3 linked regions of the Diceros bicornis minor genome follow. The protein of the gene in region 3 purifies or fractionates together with the protein of the main gene of each other region. This does not show direct contact. Links are inferred from orthologs where the notes say so. Each region holds a gene or a part of one and is shown on either strand. Other genes may lie near its edges.

Region 1 (7,223 bases), on a different chromosome or scaffold from region 3:
TGATACACACTGCAACCGTCCTCAGCAGAGGAGAAACCTGCAAAATGCTTCCTGCATAGATTTTTACCTTCTCTGCTAAAACCCCTGGGGGTGGGGGGAGGATTTTGCCCCCAGCAGACACTTGGCAATGTCTGGGGACATTTTTGGCTGTCCCCACTGGGTGAGGGCCTAGTGTGTGGACTCAGGAATGCTGCTAAACATCCCTACGGCAACGGACAGCCCGCACCACCCTCACTCCCACCCCGCCCCACTGCCGCAAAACATTATGCCTGAAATGGCAACAGGGCCGAGGTGGAGAAAAAAAAAATGGTTACCCTAGAAAAGTAAAGCTCAAATAGGCGTTCTTTTTCTCAGGGGGTCTGGTGAGATCAAGCAAGAAGGGACTACAGAGGTTAGCTGTCACCCAAGAGAGAAGGACCAAAGCTACAAACCTGAGCTGAGCCAAACGCCCTGTTGGTAATTATTTATTTATTTATTTTCCCCCAAAGCCCCAGTAGATAGTTGTATGTCATAGTTGCACATCCTTCCAGTTGCTGTATGCGGGACGCGGCCTCAGCATGGCCGGAGAAGCGGTGCATTGGTGCGCGCCCAGGATCCGAACCCGGGCCGCCAGCAGCGGAGCGCGCGCACCTAACCGCTAAGCCACGGGGCGGGCAGCACAGCAAAAATAAAAACGGTCATTCATACACGCATCTCAACCGCTTTATTTCTGTGCGTGGCATGGAGGGTGACCAGAGGGACCACATGCCCAAGCACAAGCGTGGCCTGCCTAGCGCCCTCACAAGGACAGCCTCAAGCCAAGCCCTTGGCGACTGTGGATACCGTTATTTTGACTGGACATAAAACTGTGTGAGGAGAATGCCTCCCTGACACACACAAACACATCCACTCTACATTTAAACCCTCCAAAAGGATCAATTTGGGATGCAGAGGCTGCCTGTGGCGGTGTTTTGATCTATTGATCTATTTGTGCTAGAAGCGATTAGCACGCCTAGAAAAACATCAGCTCTTCACCAGCTTTCCGGCAAGGAGACACATGAGGCCCACTGCCTGACCTGAGTACCAGCATGGCCACGTGAGGGCCGAGGTCACTCAACCACTGCCGCTGCATACCTGGCTCGACAGAGGCGGCTGTACGTTTAACTTGCCGTTCTTCGGAATGTCAATTCTGTACCCGAGGGGAAGGAAGGCGTTGAATCCGACAATGAGGTCAGGGTGTTCCTGGAAGAGCTGTGAGACGCGGCGGATGACTCCAGGAGTATCGATGCTGGAACAAAGAACAGCAGTGGGCAAAAGTGTCTTGCGGAGCAAATTACAAGCGAAATCTACTCCCGACTCCTTTGACGGTGCCACGTAACCAGCTTCTGGACTGGGCACGATGCACCCTAAAATGTGACTGGTAGGATTCTGCGGGCAGTGATCTAACATGAGAGCAGCCAGGCCTGGGCTCCCTGTGCCCTCCTGGCGAGAACCACAGAATATCTACACCACACAGCTTCCCCAAACACTCCAAGCACATGAGCTTGGTTCTGAAAATGTCAGGAGTGCAACTGCCAGTCCTGGACTCCAAAAAGTGGCAGGAGGCCAAAGCCTTCTAAGTGATGTGATAAATTCCTTCATTTCGTACGAATTAGGGATCAACAATGCCACAGGAGTTGATCCCAACAACTGAATGCAACACATAAATACCAAACAGCCTGCAAGCGTGGAGTCTGGTAAGAATGCAAGGGCAGAGAGGGGTCGCCTTCATGGCTGCAGTCAAGACCCAAGGCCTTAGCATCCCACTTGCGGAAGGAACCCTAGCCACCCTGCCACATTTCCTCAAAGAGGGCAGCACCATGGTGAGGACGTGACAGTCGAGAACCTGAGAGCCAGAGGACCCAAGTTCCAGTGCCATCTCTGCCCCTAAGGAGGGTCAGGGCAAGCCCCTGGCCCACTCTAAGCCTCAGTGAGCCTTCTGTCAAACAAGGGGGTGATCATGAGGTCCCCCGTCTATCTCTAAACCTACCGATTCTTCACCTACAAAACACAGCTAATGTACTTTTGATCCTTTCTACGTGCCAGGTCTCTTACCGGGCGTTTTATGCACATTATTTCCAGCAGGCCTGATACCAGGGTGAGGCAAGGGAGGCACTCATCTTGGGGATAAGATTTAAGGGGGAGAGGGAGCCAAAACATTCAATAATCAAGATGAATGACATTTTAATACAGTGCGTGGAAAAAAATCAAAATTAATTTAAAAAATTCTTGATGAACAAAATTCATTTAAAAATCAGCATTTTGAGTTACAGATGGGATCCGACCCTGTGCTTGCTGGACCCGCCTCCGTCGCCTCTCCCCGACCCCTGCCCTTCTTCCAGGAAGCCCCACAGCAGCTCCACGAGGGAGGGAGGGGCCTCTCCAATCTCCTTTTCTAGAAGGAACGGAGGCCCCGAGAGGTTCGACGACCTGCGCAAGGTCACCGGGCTGGGGGCAGCGGGGCTGGGGGCTCCCAGCCGGCTCGGTCCGACTGCGGCCTAGGGCGGCCCCCCAGGCAGGGAGGGGCCCGCCGGTACCTCTGGCTTTTGAACTCCTTCATGATCTCCAGGAAGCCGTTGTAAGTGGCAGGGTCGCTGCCGAAGCGGATCTTCACCTGGTCCAGGTAGGTGAGGGCGTCCTCAACCTGCGGGGAGAGGGAGGGTCCCAGTGGGTCCCGGTCGGCGGAGGAAGGAACGAGGGTCCCTGGGGGGGAGGGGGTCAGGCCAGGCCTCCGAAGGCCCGAGGTGAGGGGTCCGGGGGTCCGGGGTCCCGGGCTGCCCAGAGGGGAGGCCGAGGCGGGGCCGGGCGGGGCCCGGGTGAGGAGCGCCGGCCTGGGGGGGCCGGACAACGGGATCCCCCCCGGGAGGGCAGGGGCGCCACTCACGTGCACCGGCAGCTTCTCGTGGCCCGCGGAGCCCGAGCGACCCCAGCGGGCGCCGCTCAGCCCCCGGCCCGCGGGGCCACCGCCGCCGCCACCAGTATGCGCCATGTTGGAAGTCGGAGCCGCGGCTCGCTCCGCGCCCCCCCCCCAGGGCCGGCTGCGCATGCGCAGGCTCTGCCCCGGAGGCGGGGCTTGATGACTTTAAGGAGGGGCGGGGCTCCTGAGGACTTCGCTGTGGGATCTTGCCCCTAAAACCGAAATACTGATTAATGCGGTATGCGGTTTATACAGCACGGTTGGGCAAAGCAAGACGTGCTGCCTGCATTTGTCCGGCCCCGCAAGCAAGCTTAGAATGGTTTTTACTTTTTTTTTAAGTTGGAAAAAATCCAGAAGACATTATTTCGTGACACTTGGAAGTTCTATAACATTCAAATTTCTGTGTCTGTATAATATAGTTTTATTGGCACAAGGCACGCCCACTCGTTTACATGCTATCATCTCTGGCTGCTTTTGCGCTACAACAGCAGGGTGAATAGCTGTGACAAACCCTAAGATCTGCAGAGCCTGATATATTTACTAAAAAACGTTTGTGGACATTTTTATGCAGTGCGTGGAAAAACCCTGTGCTTTATGGGGTTGATGTGACAATGGGGTATGAGCACACAGCACCCTAACATAGGGTCCTGCGCGGTGAAGTTTTGCTGAATGGCTCTTGACTTAGTCTGCCTCCTCCTGTCTTCACTCCCCTCGTCCTGACCCCGTCGCTTCCCCACTAGACCAGTTCAGCAGCCTCTTCACCGGTTTTCCCAGCCCCAGTGCTGTCAAGAACTGAGATCGTTCCACAACTGCTTCCAAACCTCCAAGGTCTTCCTTTTTCTTGTGAGAGAAATCTAAGCACCTACACGCAGCACTGAAGGCCATAAGAACCTGACCCTTGTGAATTTTTTCTTGCAGAATTTCCCACCCAAGCAAGCTGCCCTCCCTATCTGTGCAGAACCTCCTGCCAATGCCTGCCCAGCCCGGCTGCTCCCTGGCCCCATGCATCAGCACATACCATTTCCTTTGCCCTCTTCTATCTCTTCATCACCCAGAAAATACCTAAACATCCTTCAAAACACAACCCAAATGTCCCCACCTTCAGGAAGCTACCCCAGCCCCCCTTTGCCCTCCCACAGTTCCTTGTACATCACCTGCATTTTGTGCTTCATCTCTAACACAAATTCCTGATACAGAGCCACATCAGTGAGCATTTATTAAAGGAATGAACATTCAATCCATGACAAAATGGCATCTCTTTTTGTATGTGAAGAGGTGCAGGAAAGCTGAGTGTACACTGGCAATGAGTGCATCATCTGCCAGGCGCTGTGCTGGGCTGTCAGGAATAGAATGGTAACCAAAACTGACAAGGCTTTTGCCCTCATAGAGTTTTCAGTGTTTCAAGAAGGAGAGGAATCAAATAATCACACACACAAATGTAAAGCTTCAACTGTAACAGACACTTCAAAGAGAAAGTACAAGTGTAACAGTTACTATGTTCCAGTTACTATGGCTGTATAACAAACCACCCCAGATTTAGAGCCTTAGAATGACAACAACGTTCATTTTGCACTCCAATCTGCAATTTGGGCGGGTTTGGCAAGAATAGTTCATCACTGGCCCCTTGGTGTCAGCTGGGTGGCTGGGACTGGAGCCTTCTGAAGGTTTATTCACTCCATCTTTCTGTCAGTTGCTGCTGGCTGTAGGCTGAGACCCATGCTGGTGCTGTTGCCGGGAACACCTACATGTGGCCTCCTCACGCAGCCCCAGTGTCCTCAAAACATGGCAGCTGGGTTCCAAGAACAGTCATCTGCGAGGAGGGAGTGAGCCAGGTGGAAGCCACGTTGCCTTTTCTGATCCAGCCTCGGAAGTCACGCAGAATCATCTCCATTGCAATCTTTGCATAATGACCATTACAAAGTCCCTCCCAAATTCAAGAGGAGGGCAAACAGACTCTAGAACCTGGGGCGTGGCCAGGTTCTGGAATAGTATGGGAGACAAGAAATATTGCCATGACCATTTTTGGAAAATAGCACCTGCCACCCGGGGGACTTGAGCCAGTCTAGCAGGGGATGAGGAAGGCTTCCCAGAGGAGGTGGCATTCTAAGTGAGATCTGAAGGATGCATATGCATTCGCCATGAGAAAAGTCAGAGAGAACAGCTGTGCAGAGGCCCTCAGGTGGGAGGGAGTTTGGCACATGTGAATAACTTAAAAAAAAAAAGACCAGTGTTCTCAGACTGCAGAGGAATGGGAAGGGGAGAGAGAGGGTGCAGGATAAGCATGGAGGGGCCAGCGAGGGCAGTCCACTCATCCTTCTGGGACGAGTGAAGGCTTTTGGTCTTGGCATTTAGCGCTGGTAGAAACCGCATGGGTTTAATGCAAGGAGCTGCGTGAGCAGCTTTGAATGTAGAAGCGAATGCTCCAGCTGCTCTGCAGGGAAGTGATGGGAGGGGCGCCAGGGACGGTGCAGGAAGGCTGTTTCATCCTTTAGGCAAAGGATGCTGGTGGCTTAGACCAGGAAGGGAGCAGTGGAGGTGGAGAGGAGGGGATGGAAGAGAGAGATATTTAGAAGGTAAAGCAGAAATGATGTGGTGCTGGGTGAATGTGCGGGGTGAGGGGAAGGAAGCATCCATGATACTGGCTCCCAGCCCAGGGAGGAATCCTCCCTAGTTTCAGCGCATTCCCATATGAACAGCAGCTAAGGTGGCCCAAACCCTTTGAGGCCACCAGATGTCTGGACAGTCCTTTTCACACTAACTCTGCCTGGCAACCTATCAGTCATTGTCCTGGAGGACCAAAGGCCTGTGTGGGCATCTGACATGCCAACAGGGTCCTCACAACAGTGCCCCCCTTCCCCAAGGAGTGGATTCTGTTCAAATTTCAAGGACCACTGTCAGTTTTTCATACTTTCCATAGATCTCATATGGTCAGAGGAAGCCCTCAGTCATTCGGAGAACAGGAAACCACAAGCCAGTTCCCTGTGGGCACGTGTGTATGCACGTGTGTGTGTGAGTGTGTGTTCAACATGTGGACAATGGTACACATACATTTTTCATTCTTATTTTTATAAAGCATAAAAAGTTGCTAAGTTGAATTTTTTCCTTTACTATTCTCATCTACACAGATTAAATTGAACACCTTAGAGTTGACAGTTTGGATAGACCAAACTGGAACACAAATTTCCTTACCATTTCACAGATTTAATGGCATTAAGATAAGACTCGCAAGTAGGTCTTTCGTTGGACGGTATTTTAGCAAGGTTGAGAGGACAAGATCAAAAGATCCTATTTTGAACTAATCTAAGTCTTCTCAGGTGGTAAGCTTTATGACAAAAATCTCTAAAGCCCAGAATCACGACTTGTGGCAGAATTCTAAGATGGGCCCAGAGAGTCCCACCCCTGGTGTGCATGCCCTATCTGATCCCCCACTCTGGACTGAGATTAGGGCATGCCACATGGCAAAGGTGAAGGGATTTTGCAGGTGTATTTAAGGTCTCAAATGAGTTGATTTTGAGTTCATCAGAAGGGAGATTATTCTGGGTGGGCCTGACCTAATCAGGGGAACCCTTTAAAAGACAGTCTGAGGTCAGAGCCTCGCAGCAGCAGACAGGTGTGACCCTCCTGGCCTGGAAGGAGGAGGCAGCTGTGTGGGGAGATGCCTATGGAGAGAGGAAGCCTCTGGGAACTGAGGCTCACAGTCCTACAGCTGCACGGAGCTCACTTCTGCCAACCACCTGAGTGATCGTGGAAGGGGTTTCTAAGCCTCTCCATGAGATTCCAGCCCGGATGACAGCTTGTGAGACCCTGCACAGAGAACCCAGCCGTACTGTGGCTGGACTCCTGACCCACGGGAACTGTGGGATGATAAATGGCTGTTATTTTCAACTGTGGAGTTTGTGGTCATCTGTTATGCAGTAATAGGCAACTAACACTCCTATGAAGTAGCCTTGTCACAAATGTTTCCCCTCTGATTATGATGTGTCCATGTGGGTTCATCAAGGGTAACTAATGTAGCACTTGTAGTGGGGGAGGCTCTGCATGCATGAGGCAGGGCCATATGGGAAATCTCTGTACCTTCCGCTCAGTTTTGCTGTGAACCTAAAACTGCTCTAAAAAAGTCTATTTAAAAAAATCTTTACCCTGAATCTAATCAAACCTTAAGATCAGGGTCAGCACACTTTTCTGTAAAGTGCCAAATGGTAAATATTTTTGGCTTTGGGGCCATACGTTCTCTGTTCCTGTAGCATGAAAACAGCCATAGGCAATAGGTACGTGAATGGGCATGGCT
Region 2 (7,859 bases), on a different chromosome or scaffold from region 3:
GCCCTCTGCTTCCATCTCCTCTGTGTCTTTGCTTGGAGGCTGGACGGGCATCTGGGCTCTGCGAGGAGTGGAGCCATCACTCACAGCCCGCAGCTCCGAGCAGGAAAGCGGCCACGTGGGGAGTCAAACCAAGCCTGACCACAGACAGGGACAGCTGGGGAAGTGACTGGACGCACCACACCCTGAGCACATGATGGGTGGGGAGGCTGCAAGCGGCCCTGTCTGCACATCTTCCAGAAGTGTGGGAGCCACAGAAACGCCCAGGCCCTTGGCCACTGTTAGTGATCCCAGTCCTGGGAATACTGGCCAAGGTGATGCTTCATAAGATGGAAAAGGCCAAGGGGGGCTCCCCACTGCCTTTGGGACTGGGGCTTTCAAAGCCCTGCAAAGACTAGACTTGGACTACTGGTCCAGCTCCTCACCCCACCATCTAATGGCCAGTTCTCACATACACCATGCACTTCCTCCCCCCTTCTCGTGCTCCACACCCTCCACTTCCCTTCCTGAGAACACTCGACAATCTTCCTGTCTTCTCACTGGGCTCTGGGTCAAATCCCATCTCCTTCTGCTTCCTGTGGGATCTCATGTCATTTCTTCCGTATCTTCAATTCTCCCTCTCGCCAGCTCCTTCCTATGACACTGTGGACACGCTCAGGGATTGTCCACCATTTAGAAAAAGCAGCAACACAAAACCTCACCCCATTCCACTGAACTGCTCCCCGCTGTCTGCCTCTCATCTACACTTTCAAGGCCTTGTGCACCCTTGCTAGTCCTACTCTTTCACCTCTAGCTTGTTCCAGTCCATTTCAGTACCATCGCTTGGCTGAAACTACTCCTGTAGAGTTAACCAAGGACCTCTTTGTACCTAGTGCCATTTTTCAGTGCTTATCTTAGTTGACTTTGCAGCAACACTAAACACTGCTAAGCAGTCTTTCTTTTATTCACTCATCTACTATTTTTTTTTTTTTTTGTGAGGAAGATCAGCCCTGAGCTAACATCCATGCTAATCCTCCTCTTTTTGCTGAGGAAGACCAGCCCTGAGCTAACATCTATTGCCAATCCTCCTCCTTTTTTTCCCCCAAAGCTCCAGTAGATAGTTGTATGTTGTAGTTACACATCCTTCTAGTTGCTGTATGTGGGACGTGGCCTCAGCATGGTCGGAGAAGCAGCGCGTCGGTGCGCACCCAGGATCCGAACCTGGGCCGCCAGTAGCAGAGCGCGCACACTTAACTGCTAAGCCACGGGGCCGGCCCTCACTCATCTACTATTTACTAAAAAATCTAATATATGTTAGGTACCATCAGACACTATGGTAGTACTGGGCACAATTGTGACAGACAGACAGACAGTCTCTGACCTCAAGGAGTTTACAAGTTCCTGGGAGAGAGAGGCAAAGAAACAGACCATTATTGTGGTGTGAGAAGAGCTGAGACTGGAGGCAGATGGGAGAGGCATCTAACAGAAACCTGGAGCTTGCCGCAGCAGTGAGGGCTTGCAGAGGAAGGTGTGCCAGACCGAGGAGCTGAGCTGGTTGAGGGAAGGAACATTCCAAGTACAGTGAGTAGCATATAATGAGAGAAGGAGCAGAGCTGGGGTCACGTGGATCTAAGCCTCAGAGAGAAATCTGGGCTCAGAAATCTGGTCATCAGCATCTAGCGAGTTTTTCAGGTCTTGAGGGAGGGTGAAATCAGCAAGGCAGAATGTGTGGAGCGAGAAGAGGCCCATGATGGAACTCCCAGGGTCACCAAACAGACAGATGATGCAACCTCTACAAAGGAGAAGGAAATTAGCAAGAGGTGGAGGAAGAGAAACTCAAAGTTATGGGGAGAGAGAATTTCAGAAGGATGGAGCAGTGACAGGGCCAAATGTTACCAAGAGATCACCTGAGAGGAAGACTCAACAGTCCTCTCAACAGATAATCTCCGCTTGCTGGGGGCTTCTATTTCACTGTGATGTTTTCCCAAACTCTCTGGGCCCTGCTTTGTAGTCCTTTAGATCACTGTAGACAACACTCCCTCCAGGAAGCTTTATCTGCTTACATCACCTCTCTATTTGTCCATTCTCATGCCTGTCTCCCCAGCCATTCTGTAAGCCTCACCAGGGCAGGGCTGCACATGCGCCGTATTCACCTAACACAGTACTGACTCACTTGGTAACTGGTGGATTTGCAAATACAAATTAAACAAAACAAACTTTTGCGGGGCAGGGATTGGCTTTTACTTCTTGGTAGCGTCAGGCCCCTGTAGTGGTAGCAAACCCAATATTCTGTTAACTTTCCCGGAGGCCAATTCGAGTTGTGTAAATAACTAGCCTAGAGGGCAGCTTAGTCACATTCCTCAATGATTTCACAAACGATCTGAACCTGACCTGAAAACCTGGGTTCACCAAACCAGCCTTATCTTTCCCGTTCTCAAGCCTCAGTTCTTGCAGTTCCCAAATTTCGCAATCCCTCTTAACCGTTAAATATATTTACTCTGTAAGACGCGACTTAAGTCCTACCTTTCGGGACCAGAAAGGGCGGCGGAGGGAGGGAGTCTCTCCAGCTGTCGCTGATTCTACTCAGTGAACTAAAGTAAATCACACACACACACACACACCTCGGGTGCAAAAAAAGGACAAGCACTGCTACTCTAAGTGTTGTAAAGATCGCAAAGGGTAAGAGATGGAAAAGCAAACTGTAAGGCGCCGTGCACATGCAATTTATCTTTTCAGAAAGTAACCATTTCGAGGGCAGGCCTCCATGTAAGGCAGATTCTTCCCCACCTTCGAAGAGGCCAACAGCCCCTCCGCGGGGCGCCGAAGCCTCCCGCCACTGGCTCTTCCGCAGCCAGCTGCGGCTCCCCAAGCATCCAGCCGGTTAAGTCTCCCCTTCGGCCCTGGAGATTGGGCCGGCTCCGAACCGACTGACCGAAGAGGCGAAACCAGGGACCAGGGGTGGCGATACGCACCGCGGAGAGTGGGTCCTCTGGCTTCACGTCCGCGACTCCCAAAGAGGACCCCGAAACTACGGGTATTGGCCGCCGGACTCCCGGAAGCGCTGCGCCGGCGCTCTTCTCCGGGAGGCGGGGCTTGTCTGCGCTTCCGTATGCATCATCAGGAGGCGCCCGTCGGAGAGCTCATAATTGGACAGCTCGGGGCAAGGCATGCTGGGATACTGCGGGCCGGTCTCCATAGCAACCGGCCGAAATGCACAGAGGTCTTCAGCCGGCGGGAAAGGCCCTTGTGGTTTCCTTGCTTTGCAGCCGTCGCCCCTTGGTCCGCGGCCATCTCCCACCCCCGGCGTGAAAGGGGCGAACCCGGGACCTCCCCGCCCGCCCGGTACAGGAGAGTAATGGAGCCAGCTGTAGATGTGAACACTCATTTATTTACACATTGTCACTGGCAGGCAAATAACTCAGCCCAGCCTATTCGAGGGTTAGAGATCGCGGACTACCACACACACAACCTGCAGACCCTTCCCTTCTCCAGAGTCCCCGAGGACGGAAGGCTGGGAGAACCAGGAAGTTTAGGCTACTGCCCAAAACCTAAGAACTAAATTCAACGCCTTCCTCTGATTTCTTTCCAAAAAGTCCATGTTGTTAAGTACTCAGACTTCTAGCTCTGTCCCATGCATACTTTTTGCTCTCCTACTACCCACCCACCCAAGACTGTTAATAATAATAATACTGTAATAATATTAATAATACTTTACATTTGTACGAAGCTTACAGAATGTTTTCACATATAGCATCTCATCTGAGCCTCCCAACAGTTCTGTGAGGTAGATATTCTCACCTCCCTTTTTACAGACGGGGTAACTGAGGCTCAGAGAGGGAACAGGATTTGCTCAAGGCCACACAGCTAGTTAGTGGTAAAGCTAGGATTTGATCCCAGCACCCCATATTCAAGTCCAGTGTTCTAACACCACAGCTACCACTGCAAAGTGGAGTGAAATTTCTCACCCCTGTCAGGCCTGAGGGGTGGCCTAAGGAGGGAGGAGGCTGACTTCTCAGACTAGGAGAGGGAAGGGCTCAGCAGTGACGTGGGGAGTCAGGGTACTTCGCCTTTAACTCCTGTTTGAACTGGCGGTAAAGGATCTTATTGTGCTGATTTTCGGCTTCCTTTTGGGGATGGAACTTCAAGGCTTCTTTGAAGCCCTTATGAACCAGGAAACCTTCGTTCAGCACCTCGAAATCAAATCCTGCCACGTGCAGCTCACAGGCCTGTGGGGGGAGAGACAGGTCAGCAAGTTTGTTGACATTCCTTCAGCTGAGGCTAACATCCCTAAAGCAGCACACCAGCATCCCCACTACTCTGGAGGCATCCTGGATCTTCCACACCATCCAACCACGTCCTGAACTATGATCCCTCCTGCCTCGTTGCCTCCTTTCCATTCAGGGCCACTCATAGCTCCCTGAACCCACCACCCTTCCTGCCCCATTTCCCCTCTGAGCACCTGGCTGATGCGATTGAAGCCGTACTGCCGAAAGCGCTCGTCGAAGGTGGGCACCTTGCCTCCAGCCACGTAGAATGGCTCCCAGGGGTCCTGCCAGGGCACTACGTAGGCAGGCCTCAGCAAGGTCTCTTCTGGCAGGTTGACCCAGCGGGAGTAGTTGGTGGGCGCCTGGCAGGGCGTGCACAGCCCGTAATAGAAGGGCCGCACCTCGCCCACCTGGTAGAGCTGCAGCAGCTCATTCTTGTTCGTGGGCATGCGGCGGGCTCGGCGGATCTCGAAGGCAGGCACCACCAGCGCTGTGCCCGCCCACTGCTTGCTCTGATCCAGCATTTCCCGCAGGCCTCTCCACAGCCCCTCGCTGGGCACCATGTCCACATCGATTACCAGGGCATAGTTGGCCCCCTCACGAGCCAGATTCCTCAGCAGGTTATTGGGGTAGGAGACATTGGTGCCCAACGCATAATTGATCCCGGGCTGGGCCACCCTGGCTAGCTTGTCAAAGACTTCCTGGCAGGACCGCAACAGGGCAAACTCCCCCGGCTCCCTGGGGTCGGGCACCGCGGCCTCATAGCGCGAGGGGCACACGAGGTGCATGGCGACCCTGGCGCGCATGTCGGGGCAGTGGCTGCTCAGCGCATAGGTCAGCACCGTGGCCAGCTGCGCCTCCTCTTTGGTGGCCGCGAACACCGACACGGATAGCGGGCCCTCCCAGCGCTCCAACAGGCCGGACAGGTGCAGCAGGTTGTCCACGCTGGCGTGCGTGGCCAGGATCACATCGTTGGGGTCCATGGTGGTCTTCAGTAGGCCCCTGTAGACGCGGTAGTCGCCGCTGGCGTCCAGGACGCCTCCGGAGGCCAGCGCGGTGCGGAGCTGCGCCTTGACCTGGTCCACGGACCGCGGGGATGGGGGGAAGAACTCGAAATACTGGTCTTGCTCCTCCTGCCCGTGTAGCCCGGACAGCAGCGACAGGTAGAGCAGCTGCAGCATCGCCACCAACATTAGCGCGGCCAGCAGCAGCTGGTAGAAGGCGCACCGAATGGCGTAGGACATCTGCATGGCTCTCGGGGCGCAGGGCGCGCAGCAGGGACCACCGGGCCGCAGGCTCCGCCGGCAGCCGCAAGCCCGGATTTACCGCAGCCTACCGAGCGCGGCCGAAGCGAGCCGAGGCGAGCCGAGCCCCGCGCGCAGCCCCGCCCGCCCGCGCCGGCCTCCAGGCGCGCCAGCTCGCCCCCTGCACGCGAGGAGGAGCCACTGCACTCGCCGCCCGCGCCGCGCGCTTTGCAAACTCTGAAACTCCCCGCGGCCGCGCCGCCGCGCCTGCCAGCTTCCCAGAGACACATAGCCCCTCTCTCCCGATCACTGCGCGACCCCCTGAACCAAGCGCGTCCTGAAACCCCGGCGAGCTCGCCCCCGGCTCAGGGAGGGGAAACCTTGCCAGAGCTCGGCTGCGGCTTGGAGAATGATGGCGCGGGTTCCCGGCTGCGGCGGGTGGAAGGGAACACAAAAAGCCGTTTTCTTTCTGCCGTCTCCCCCTTCTAGGTCCTACGAAGTCCGCTCTGAGGAATGGATGCAGGGGGTCCCGGAAGGTGCGGAGGAGATGAGAGATAAGGGAATGTGGAAAGGGGTGCTGGACGTGGGACGAGGTGGCCGAGTGGTTAAGGCGATGGACTGCTAATCCATTGTGCTTTGCACGCGTGGGTTCGAATCCCATCCTCGTCGGTCGTGTTTTACGCGGGAGACCATTCTTAATTTTCCACATGCCGCTTCTCTGGAGCAGCAGGTTAAAGAGCACGGAATTGAGGATGGGACGCAGTTCGGCGCAGCCCGGGCCTCTCTCCCCTTTGTTCGTCGTACATCTCTGGCCACTTCGTACTTCAGGTGTCTGAACCTTCTGGGCGAAGGTCGGAAGTGTGCTTTTCTTTCTCCAGAAGAGGGCCAAGGGTTGGGTGGCACCTAGAAGACCACAACCAAAATTCTGGCCAATGCCTAATTGGGGGCCAATATATTAACTGCAGGAATTAGAAACGCCCCCTGAAGGTGCTGCCCTCCCTATCTGAAGTAGTGGAACTTGGGGGGAGGGGTGTTTGATCGTTTAAATTATTTCTCTGTTCAGCCCACTGATTCCCCTCCCCGCAGCCCTTCTCCCAGGGCGGAGACCTTGTATCCACGCACCTCCCTCCCCAACACACGCACTTAAGCAGAAGGCCTTGAATATTCTCACACCAGCCAGCGTACACAGAAGGCGCTTAATAAGTGTGGAATAAACGATCTAAGGACTCTTTAGAAGAGCAGAGGCTGTGGGGAAAGGCAGGTTCTTTGACTGCTAAATCAATTACTATATGTAATACATAATTTTTTGAGCCCTGTGAATCTTGGAAAGGTGCTTTGGGACAGACTGAGGAGGGCTCGCATGCCAGGGTAAGGGGTTTGACCGCTATTCCACAGGCAGTAGGGAGCCAGGGTTGTTGAGTTGAGAAGTGACCAGGAGACCTATATTCTGCAGCCCTGAATAATAATACCTGCTCTGCAGCAGAGGCTGTGTTAGGCACCGGGCGTGGGGCCTTGCAGGGGACAAGGGTACTGTCCTTGAAGGTTTTCACTGGTGACTTGTGCCAGGAGAGAGGAGAAAGGTATGTGTGGATCCCATCATAAGGATCAGGGAGGCTCAGAAGCAGATTTGGTGCCACAGGGGTTTTCTTTGACCTGCTTAGTGTTTAGAAATAACAATTTGAATCACGTCAGTTGTTAACTTTGGGGAATCAGGAGATTTCACATATAATTCACATTTCCAACTTCTGTTTTAAATTCTGGAAGATCTGGCAATGCCAGGCTTGCATTCCCACAGGGTGACAATTGGCCAGAGCATAAAAGTGTTTCTCCCTTTGCAAACAGTCCTCCCTTTGCCAAAGTCTCAACCCTGCGCCTTCCTGTCGGGGCTTTAAACATTTGTGTTTCATCTGCAGTGCTCACACAGTACCCATTTACTACCTCCATTGAAGATTTCCCTGGGCGTCTGCCCACATTGCCCCCCCTGGCCACTGCAATGCAAGCCACACAGCAGGCATCAAGACGTGTTTGTTGAATGAGTAAATAAGAAGCTTCTGAAGTGTCCCCAGGGGCCCTAGTCTAAGGGGAGACTGAAAAGTGGTGACTGGGCCTTGGGGGGGTGTTAAGATCAAGGAAAGCCACATGAGAGGCCCAGAGGAAGGCCAAAAGCCTGCTCTTGTGGGCAGAGAGGCCTGGCTGGGGAGAGGGACTGGCAGTGATGGAGTGGGACCTGAAAGAATCAAAGACCAGAATCAAAAACCATTAACAAGGAGTCTGCTTCCCACATACTTTTCCCTATGCATCTCTTCCATCTGGCTGTTCTGAATTGTGTCCTTTTATAATAAACCTGTCATCCAGTAAGTAAAAGGTTTCTCTC
Region 3 (7,005 bases):
TAGATTCTTCCACAATAGATTTTTTATTAACTTTGATCTTTCTAACTAAAATATATTACTATATACACTACGTTAACAATTTCATTAGCATTTAATGACCCTTTTTGCATGAACAGGCTCATTTAAAGTTTAAATAGTTTAAAACTCATATATACCTCAACAAGTTGCGCTTTATTAAGTCCTGGTCTGGTTGGCAGTTTGAAGTGTCTTTTGTATCTCCTAAGTGTATTTACTTGTAATTGGTATAAATCGACCTAGAAAAAATTAACATACGTGAATTAGTTCACAGAATCTGTTAAAAACTTATCTTTAATATGTATAATAACATTTCAATTTCAGCACAATAAAAACTTGATTCCATTATTAAAAAAGCTTTTTATACAATCAAAACTAAAAATGTATTAAACACTTTAATCTTTTGAGGATAAATAGTAAAAACTAGGGGCAAAAAAAAGATGTAAGACAACGCAGCTATGAGGTGTCAATTGAAAATATAACAAGTAAAATTGTGTAACTGCATGTTAACTGGCTATATTTAATTTTGCTTTCATTTTCAGATTTTTCAAATGCTTTAAGTATTTAAAAAATTTGTTAATATCTTTTTATAAAAGTTTCAGAATGGACTACTTAGGATTTACATTTAATATCCAAAAACTTGCATCTACCTCTGGAGTATCAATATCTTGAACAGGTGAATCTCCTCCATCATCATCACTCCCTTTTCTCTTTCTTCTGTTTCGAACACTTTGAATTAAGTTTTTATGATAATCACAAATGTAAAGATGCCTTGCCTGAAACAGAAAATTTCACAGACTACTTATGATTACAATAAAATGTTTCTATATATTTAGTAAAATACATAGGCCACAGTGAATTATTAAAAATAAAAACAACAGTCAAAACAAGCCATTAAGACAATGGCATGTTTCTTTCTATTCTTAAGTCCTGCACCCAGCTAAAACATACTAAGTCTTACAACACTGTTAAGAGGATTGGGGGGTAGAGTGGTGAGGGGTGACAGTAAAGGAGGGGAGGCAGGTAGAGGAGAATGAGAAATTTCAACCCTCTGGATTTAATCATCAAATTACAGTGAAGGTGAACTAGATTAGTTAGGTCATCCTGTTTTATAACAAGGGGAAAGATGATGTTGCGCACCATTTCGCTATTTGATAGTATTTTTTTCTACTTAAAGATCATATTTTAGTAGCATAATGTATGCTTCCTCATCTTTCTTAATACTCCGATTACAATCCAGATACAGAACTATCCATTTTTACAAATGTTATTGATTTCATATTCTAACTATATTTAAATTTGAATTATAAACTTTTCTGAGTATTAAATGTTACTTATCTGTATTACGTTTTTCCAATCAAAGCAATGTGAAATCATTCAAATTTACCTGAAAAGTTTCTCATGAACACGACCGAAGAACTAACTGTTTTAACAGGCAGAAAGTATCACAAATAAACTCTTCAAAAACTTTCATTACATATAGTCTTGAGAGCTGTATAGTAACATCTGAAACACGGAGCTTCACATTAACAGTTACTCTTTAAAAACCAATTAAAGACCGAGCTAATAGGCTTTTAAATTAACTTCTAAGCTATGTGCAAGTTAAAAATATGCCGGGCGTGTGCTAGGTTCTGACATCTTGTTATTCCTTTACCGCCAGGCAGAGCTCCGAAAACTGGCAATGGTTATTTCTAAAAACCTCTTTAGAGGATCAAAAGAACAGACGTGCAAAGGACGGAAAAGAATCCTGATGGCTGCCGGCGGACGGCAAACCCGCAGAGGCTACGTGCTCCGCACGTTCGGAGCGGCTGCCCCAGCCCCAGATGCTGACACCGCCGACACAGTTCACAGTCCTGGCTCCCTGCGAGGCGCCGGGTGAGCTCGGGTTCGTTCTCACTCCGTGCTCGGGGGAACGAGGAGCGGGATCTTGCTTGACTGCGGGGTCAGGTCCTTGCGGGACTCCACTTTCCCTAGACGAGGGGAGCTACTCCCTGGTGCCAAACGCCAGCTTGGGCAGCAAAACAAAGAAGGCGCCTCCATTCCAGAAGGCGCTGCCGGGCTGCAAGAAAACTACTCCGGGCGGTCCCCTTTGTTTCGTTTCCCGATCTCCGCGGACGAGGAAGGGGAAGACAGAGAGCGGGAGAGGCAGGGAGCGGGGGGGATGGGGGGAGGAGCGGAACCGCAGCGTGCAAGTGTGCGTGTGTCTGTTGGGGGTGGCGGTCGGAGTTGCAGCGACTTTGTTTGCTTCCTACCAGAGACCCCACAACGTGTTCGCACTGCAACCAGGTCCGGGGGGACCCCTGAAACCCCCGCCCAACAACCCCCGTCTGCACCGCTCCCGGAGCCCCAAGGGGGCGGGCAGGGCAGTCCCGTAGTCACTTACGCTCTTATCCAGCTCGATCTTCACCTTCTTCTGGGAGATGCTCTTCTGGATCCTCTTGCTGAAGCTGGCGTTGCCCGCCGCCCGGCCGCACCGCTCGCCGTCCTCCCGCAGACAGCACAGTTGCCCGGGGCCCGGCCCGGCCGCTCCCGGGGGCCCAGCCGCCGAGACCGCCCCGGCGCCGGGGACCTCAGCCCCGGCCCCTGCCCCGGCCCCGTTCCCCGCCGAGGCGGCGGCGGCGGCGGCGGCGGCAGCGACCACGGCGGCCACGGCGGCGGCCGCGTCCCCGCCGCGGCTCATCTCCTCCGGCGTGAAGCCGTTCATGTCTCTGCGCTCAGGGGCGCCGGCGCTGAAAGAAATCCTCGCCCGCCTCGCCGCTCCCTCTCTCTCCAGAGACGCCGGGGTCTCGGCGGGGTCCCTCAGGCACCTGCCCGGCGGCGGCAATTCACTCTGCACCTCAAGTCCTCCGACAGCACAGCACAACACCAAGTGTCCCCGGCCTGCTGGTGTCTGCCGATGCCGGGTCAGTGGACAGGGCTTGGGGTCGGGAACTAGCGTCGGGCGGCGCCTGGAGCCGGGACCCCACTCACTGTCACATGGAGACTCTTCAGCAGTTGGACCACAGCGCCTCCGCCTCCCTCCGGTTGCTCGACCTGCGCAAGCGCGAAGCGCCCTCTCCCGCCCTCTCTGCAGCAGGGCACCACGGGAATTGTAGTTCTCTGCAGGGGAGTCAACCTGAGCTCTGCTTTAACGCCGCGCGTCGCGGGTTGGAGGAACTACTTATCCTAGCATGCATCGCGCGACGGCGGGCCGGGTTTTTTTTTTCCCCCTTTTTCTTTTTTAAGCTCGGGGAAAATAGGGGCGTGTGGTTGTGGTTGCGTTGTTTTCTCTCTTCTTATCTCTCCCGGGGAGCTGTGTTGTGTTTAGCTCCTGGGATTCTGCAGAGGTGGCATTCTAGACAAAGAGGTCACTCAACTCCTGAGGCGAAGCACAAAATGCGGGGGGAGGAGAATAAGCGTGTGGGAAAAAGTTTCGGGGCCGTTTTTCTATCTGTGGAAAAAGAGTTTTTGGTGCGACCATGTTTTTGTGGGAAACTCAAACCAAAGAGAACTCAGGCGACCTGGCGCTCTTCGGGTCCTGGAGGTCCGGCAGCTAGCTCCACATCTGGCTGGCAGCTCCATTCATTGACGCACCAAATTGCTCAGAGCGCCTGCTTACGGGAAAACGCCCATCCCGACCTCTCGCCCTCCAGATGCCTCCGCTAAAGGCCGTTTCTAAATCCTTGCACGTTCCTGCAAGGAACGCGTTTTGTTCGCGGGCGCAAAGTCTGCTGCTTCCTGAGGTGGAGCTAGTGACTAGTTGACTGTAACAGGGCTTCTCTTCGCCTCCACCCCCAATCTTTTCAGTTTCTCCTCGAATGAACCTGGAGAAAGGCGGAGTCTAATATCATTTAAAAGGGGACGCGGAACCCCACAAATACCGAGTTAGCCTGAGTGCTTCCTAGAAACTCCCCAGCGTTCGCTCTGTGAAGCGAGAAGAGAGAAATAAGCCACATTTCCTCGGTGGTCCGCACGCGCGTGTGCGCTTGTGTTGCATGCGTATGTGTATGCATGTATGTGTGTGCGCGTATGTGTGCATGTACGTGTATGTGTGCGCGTTTGCGTGTCTGTGCGTGCGTGCATGTGGACGTGTGCTTGTGGAGGGCGGGGTAGAAGGATGGGAGCGGCTAATATGAATGCTGCGGTTGTGCTAGTTACGCTGCGTCGTTATTTATCGGTAGATATATGCTGTTAACAATCCCATTGTTTGAACAAAAATACAAAGCAGTATTATTTTGCAAGTTCCTGTAGACTTACAGAGTAAATTTAGTGATAGACGATTTTTTTTTTTTAAACGTATAATGTCATCTGCCCTGAAATTTAAAGCCACCCGTTCCATCTGTGTGCTTCGGTTCTAGGCTATGGCAAAGGAAAAAAAAAAAAGAAAGAAAGAAAATATTACGTAAATTGAGTAAGCAAAAGAAAAGCGCTGAATGGTAAGTACTTTGTGTTATCTTTTTACGCTGCTCTGTCCAATAGGGTGTCCTCTAGCCATATGTGGCTATTGAGCGCTTGCAATGTGGTTGTTGTAACTGAAGAACTGAATTGTTAATTTAATTTTAATTAACTTAAATTTTAAAAACTGATTTCAGTTATTGGAAAACTTTTAAGTATATTTGGAACAACTTGGATATATGAATCTGTTTTTTCAACTTAAATTTTATGTAATCTAAATTTAAATCTAAATCCAAATTGAGATGTGCTGTAAGTATAAATTACCAAGGGGATTTCAGACTTAGTACCAGAAATTTTTTAAAAAAAGAATATTGAATAGCTTATTAATAATTTTTATATTGATTACATGTTGAAATGATAATATTTTGGATATACTGGGTTAAATGAAATATAACATTAAAATAAATTTTACCTGTTTCTATTTTTTTAAATATGGCTACTATGACATTTAATATTACACTTGTGGCTCACATATTTGTCTTAGATAATGCTGGTTTAAAGTATTAAAACAGAATAATACTATCGTTTATTAATATATTTTCTTAAATGGTAAAAATGAGAGCATGTGGAAGAGATGGATATGCTCCAAGGGTGGTGGTCATCTCTAAGGAGAGAGGCCAAGGGATAGTATCTGGGAATCAAAGGTGGTCTCTATGGTATTTGTAAGTTTTTTTTTATTAAAAAAACATCTGAAACAAATATGATATTGGGTTGTTGGATTTTCATTTTTTCTTTCTACTTTTATGTATTTTTTAAATAATTCATAATTATTGTTTGGTTCTTGCCCTTAAAAGTTTATAATCTATCTTCTGCAAAATGTGATCAAATTAGTTCATGTATATACTGTATGTATGGTTTAGTTACGTATCAGTTTCATATGAATTTTACTAAAGTGATGAATTGTAGTTATATGCTTTCTTTACATACAATACAGTCTTTTCAAAAGGTCCAATTAGGGCCGCCCTGTGGTGTAGGGGTTAAGTGTGCGTGCTCTGCTGCTAGCGGCCCGGGGTCAGATTCCATGGCCCGGGGTCAGATTCCATGTGCGCACTGACGCACCCCTTGTCAGGACACGCTGTGGCGGGTCCCAGAGGAAGATGGGCACGGATGTTAGCCCAGGGCCAGTCTTCCTCAGCAACAAGAGGAGGATTGACACAGATGTTAGCTCAGAGCTGATCTTCCGCACACACACACAAAAATAAAAGGTCCAATTAAACTCTCCTTTATTGCATACTAGGATCTTTTCTAGGCCTTGGGGATACAAAATTAATTGGGAGAGGGTCCTAGCCATTTTGGAGTTCTCTGTTTAGTAGGGGAGATGGGTAGCTTAACAAGCACATGATACATGCTGCTGTAGACTGAATGTTTGTGTCTCCCCAAAATTCATATGTTGAAACCTGATCCTCAAGTGATGATATTTGGAGGTAGGATCTTTGGGAGGTGAATAGGCCCTGAGGGCTGGAGCTCTCATGAATAGGATTTGAGACTCAGAAAAGAGGCTCCAGAGAGCAACCTCATCCCTTCCACCATGTGAGGACACAGTGAGAAGACTGGCAGTCTATGAACCAGAAAGCAGACTCTCACCAGCCACAAATCTGTCAGCACCTTGATCTTGGACTTCCCAGCCTCCAGAACTGTGAGAAATAAATTTTTTTTGTTTATAAGCCACCCAGTCTATGGTATTTTTTTTTATAGCAGCCCAAACAAAGACACATTCCTCAATAAAATTAGAGAGACTTAGCACACAGGAGGAAATGATTCATTTCTGGCAAGTAAAAAGCATTCCTGGAGTAGATGACATGTAAATTCTCCATGCCGGATTTAAAGTATTTCTTCTGTGAATCTATTGTCCATACAAAGAAATTTTCATAACAACCGTGGTTCATTGTTTATTTCTACAACTCTTCATATCCAGGGCAGGTAAGAATTCCTTGCTTTAAGAATAATTTACAATCAAGGTTGGAACCACGTTTTGGGAAGCTTCAAGCTCATAAAATTTGAGTCTTTAAGAAAAAGTATATAAAATTAAGAATGCAAAATTAGGTACAGGCCTGTCCAAGTGAAGGACTATGAACTTTACATCCATTAGCTTCATTATAAATGTACTTCAGAGTAGATAATATGGAAATATAGATTTATGAAACCTAAGTTATAGGAGGGTTGTTGATATCATCAAAATATTCTTTGCTTTCTGAAAAGATTCAAAATATGATTCTTTAAAAAGTATTTTTCCCTGCCTTTCTTCTCTCTAAGGCTTTTAACATGATTGAATTTTTCTGGTTTTATTTTTAAATAAAAAATTAAATGTAAACAATTAATTGTAAATTTTAACTTACAAAAATATCCAAATTGGCCCATAATCCTAATATGAACATGATTTTAAGTTCAAATAATAAAAGGTTCAATATGAAAAACAGAAGCCTGTTTCCCCTCATCTCCTCAAATCCCTGTCCCTAAAAGCAAGCAATGTTAACAATTTCTTGTTTCCTTCTAGAAAAAAATTATATGCATATACCAGTATGTATGTATATATATGTTTTTTTTCAGCTAAGGATC

What was found. The genes of interacting proteins can lie anywhere in the genome.
Region 1: the proteins of SAP30 (region 3) and SIN3B purify together in Homo sapiens (affinity purification with mass spectrometry; 4 studies listed by BioGRID and IntAct, with this or other methods). This does not show direct contact. The link is inferred for Diceros bicornis minor from reciprocal best matches to the Homo sapiens genes SAP30 and SIN3B.
Region 2: the proteins of SAP30 (region 3) and BRMS1 purify together in Homo sapiens (affinity purification with mass spectrometry; 3 studies listed by BioGRID and IntAct, with this or other methods). This does not show direct contact. The link is inferred for Diceros bicornis minor from reciprocal best matches to the Homo sapiens genes SAP30 and BRMS1.

What each region holds. Positions count from the first base shown.
Region 1 is NC_080759.1:4,917,499-4,924,721, reverse strand, and holds the start of SIN3B (paired amphipathic helix protein Sin3b), read right to left. Parts: upstream 3,018-7,223; 5' UTR 3,008-3,017; coding exon 2,903-3,007; intron 2,663-2,902; coding exon 2,556-2,662; exon of another isoform or gene 2,405-2,555; intron 1,268-2,404; coding exon 1,114-1,267; intron 1-1,113.
Region 2 is NC_080770.1:7,002,220-7,010,078, reverse strand, and holds the start of BRMS1 (breast cancer metastasis-suppressor 1), read right to left. Parts: upstream 3,018-7,859; 5' UTR 2,949-3,017; intron 2,930-2,948; exon of another isoform or gene 2,909-2,929; intron 59-2,908; 5' UTR 52-58; coding exon 1-51. Other genes in the region: B4GAT1 (beta-1,4-glucuronyltransferase 1), read right to left, coding at 4,011-4,202, 4,436-5,491. UniProt on the Homo sapiens protein: Transcriptional repressor. Down-regulates transcription activation by NF-kappa-B by promoting the deacetylation of RELA at 'Lys-310'. Promotes HDAC1 binding to promoter regions.
Region 3 is NC_080750.1:59,892,681-59,899,685, reverse strand, and holds the start of SAP30 (histone deacetylase complex subunit SAP30), read right to left. Parts: upstream 3,015-7,005; 5' UTR 2,720-3,014; coding exon 2,399-2,719; intron 792-2,398; coding exon 666-791; intron 255-665; coding exon 156-254; intron 1-155. UniProt on the Homo sapiens protein: Involved in the functional recruitment of the Sin3-histone deacetylase complex (HDAC) to a specific subset of N-CoR corepressor complexes. Capable of transcription repression by N-CoR.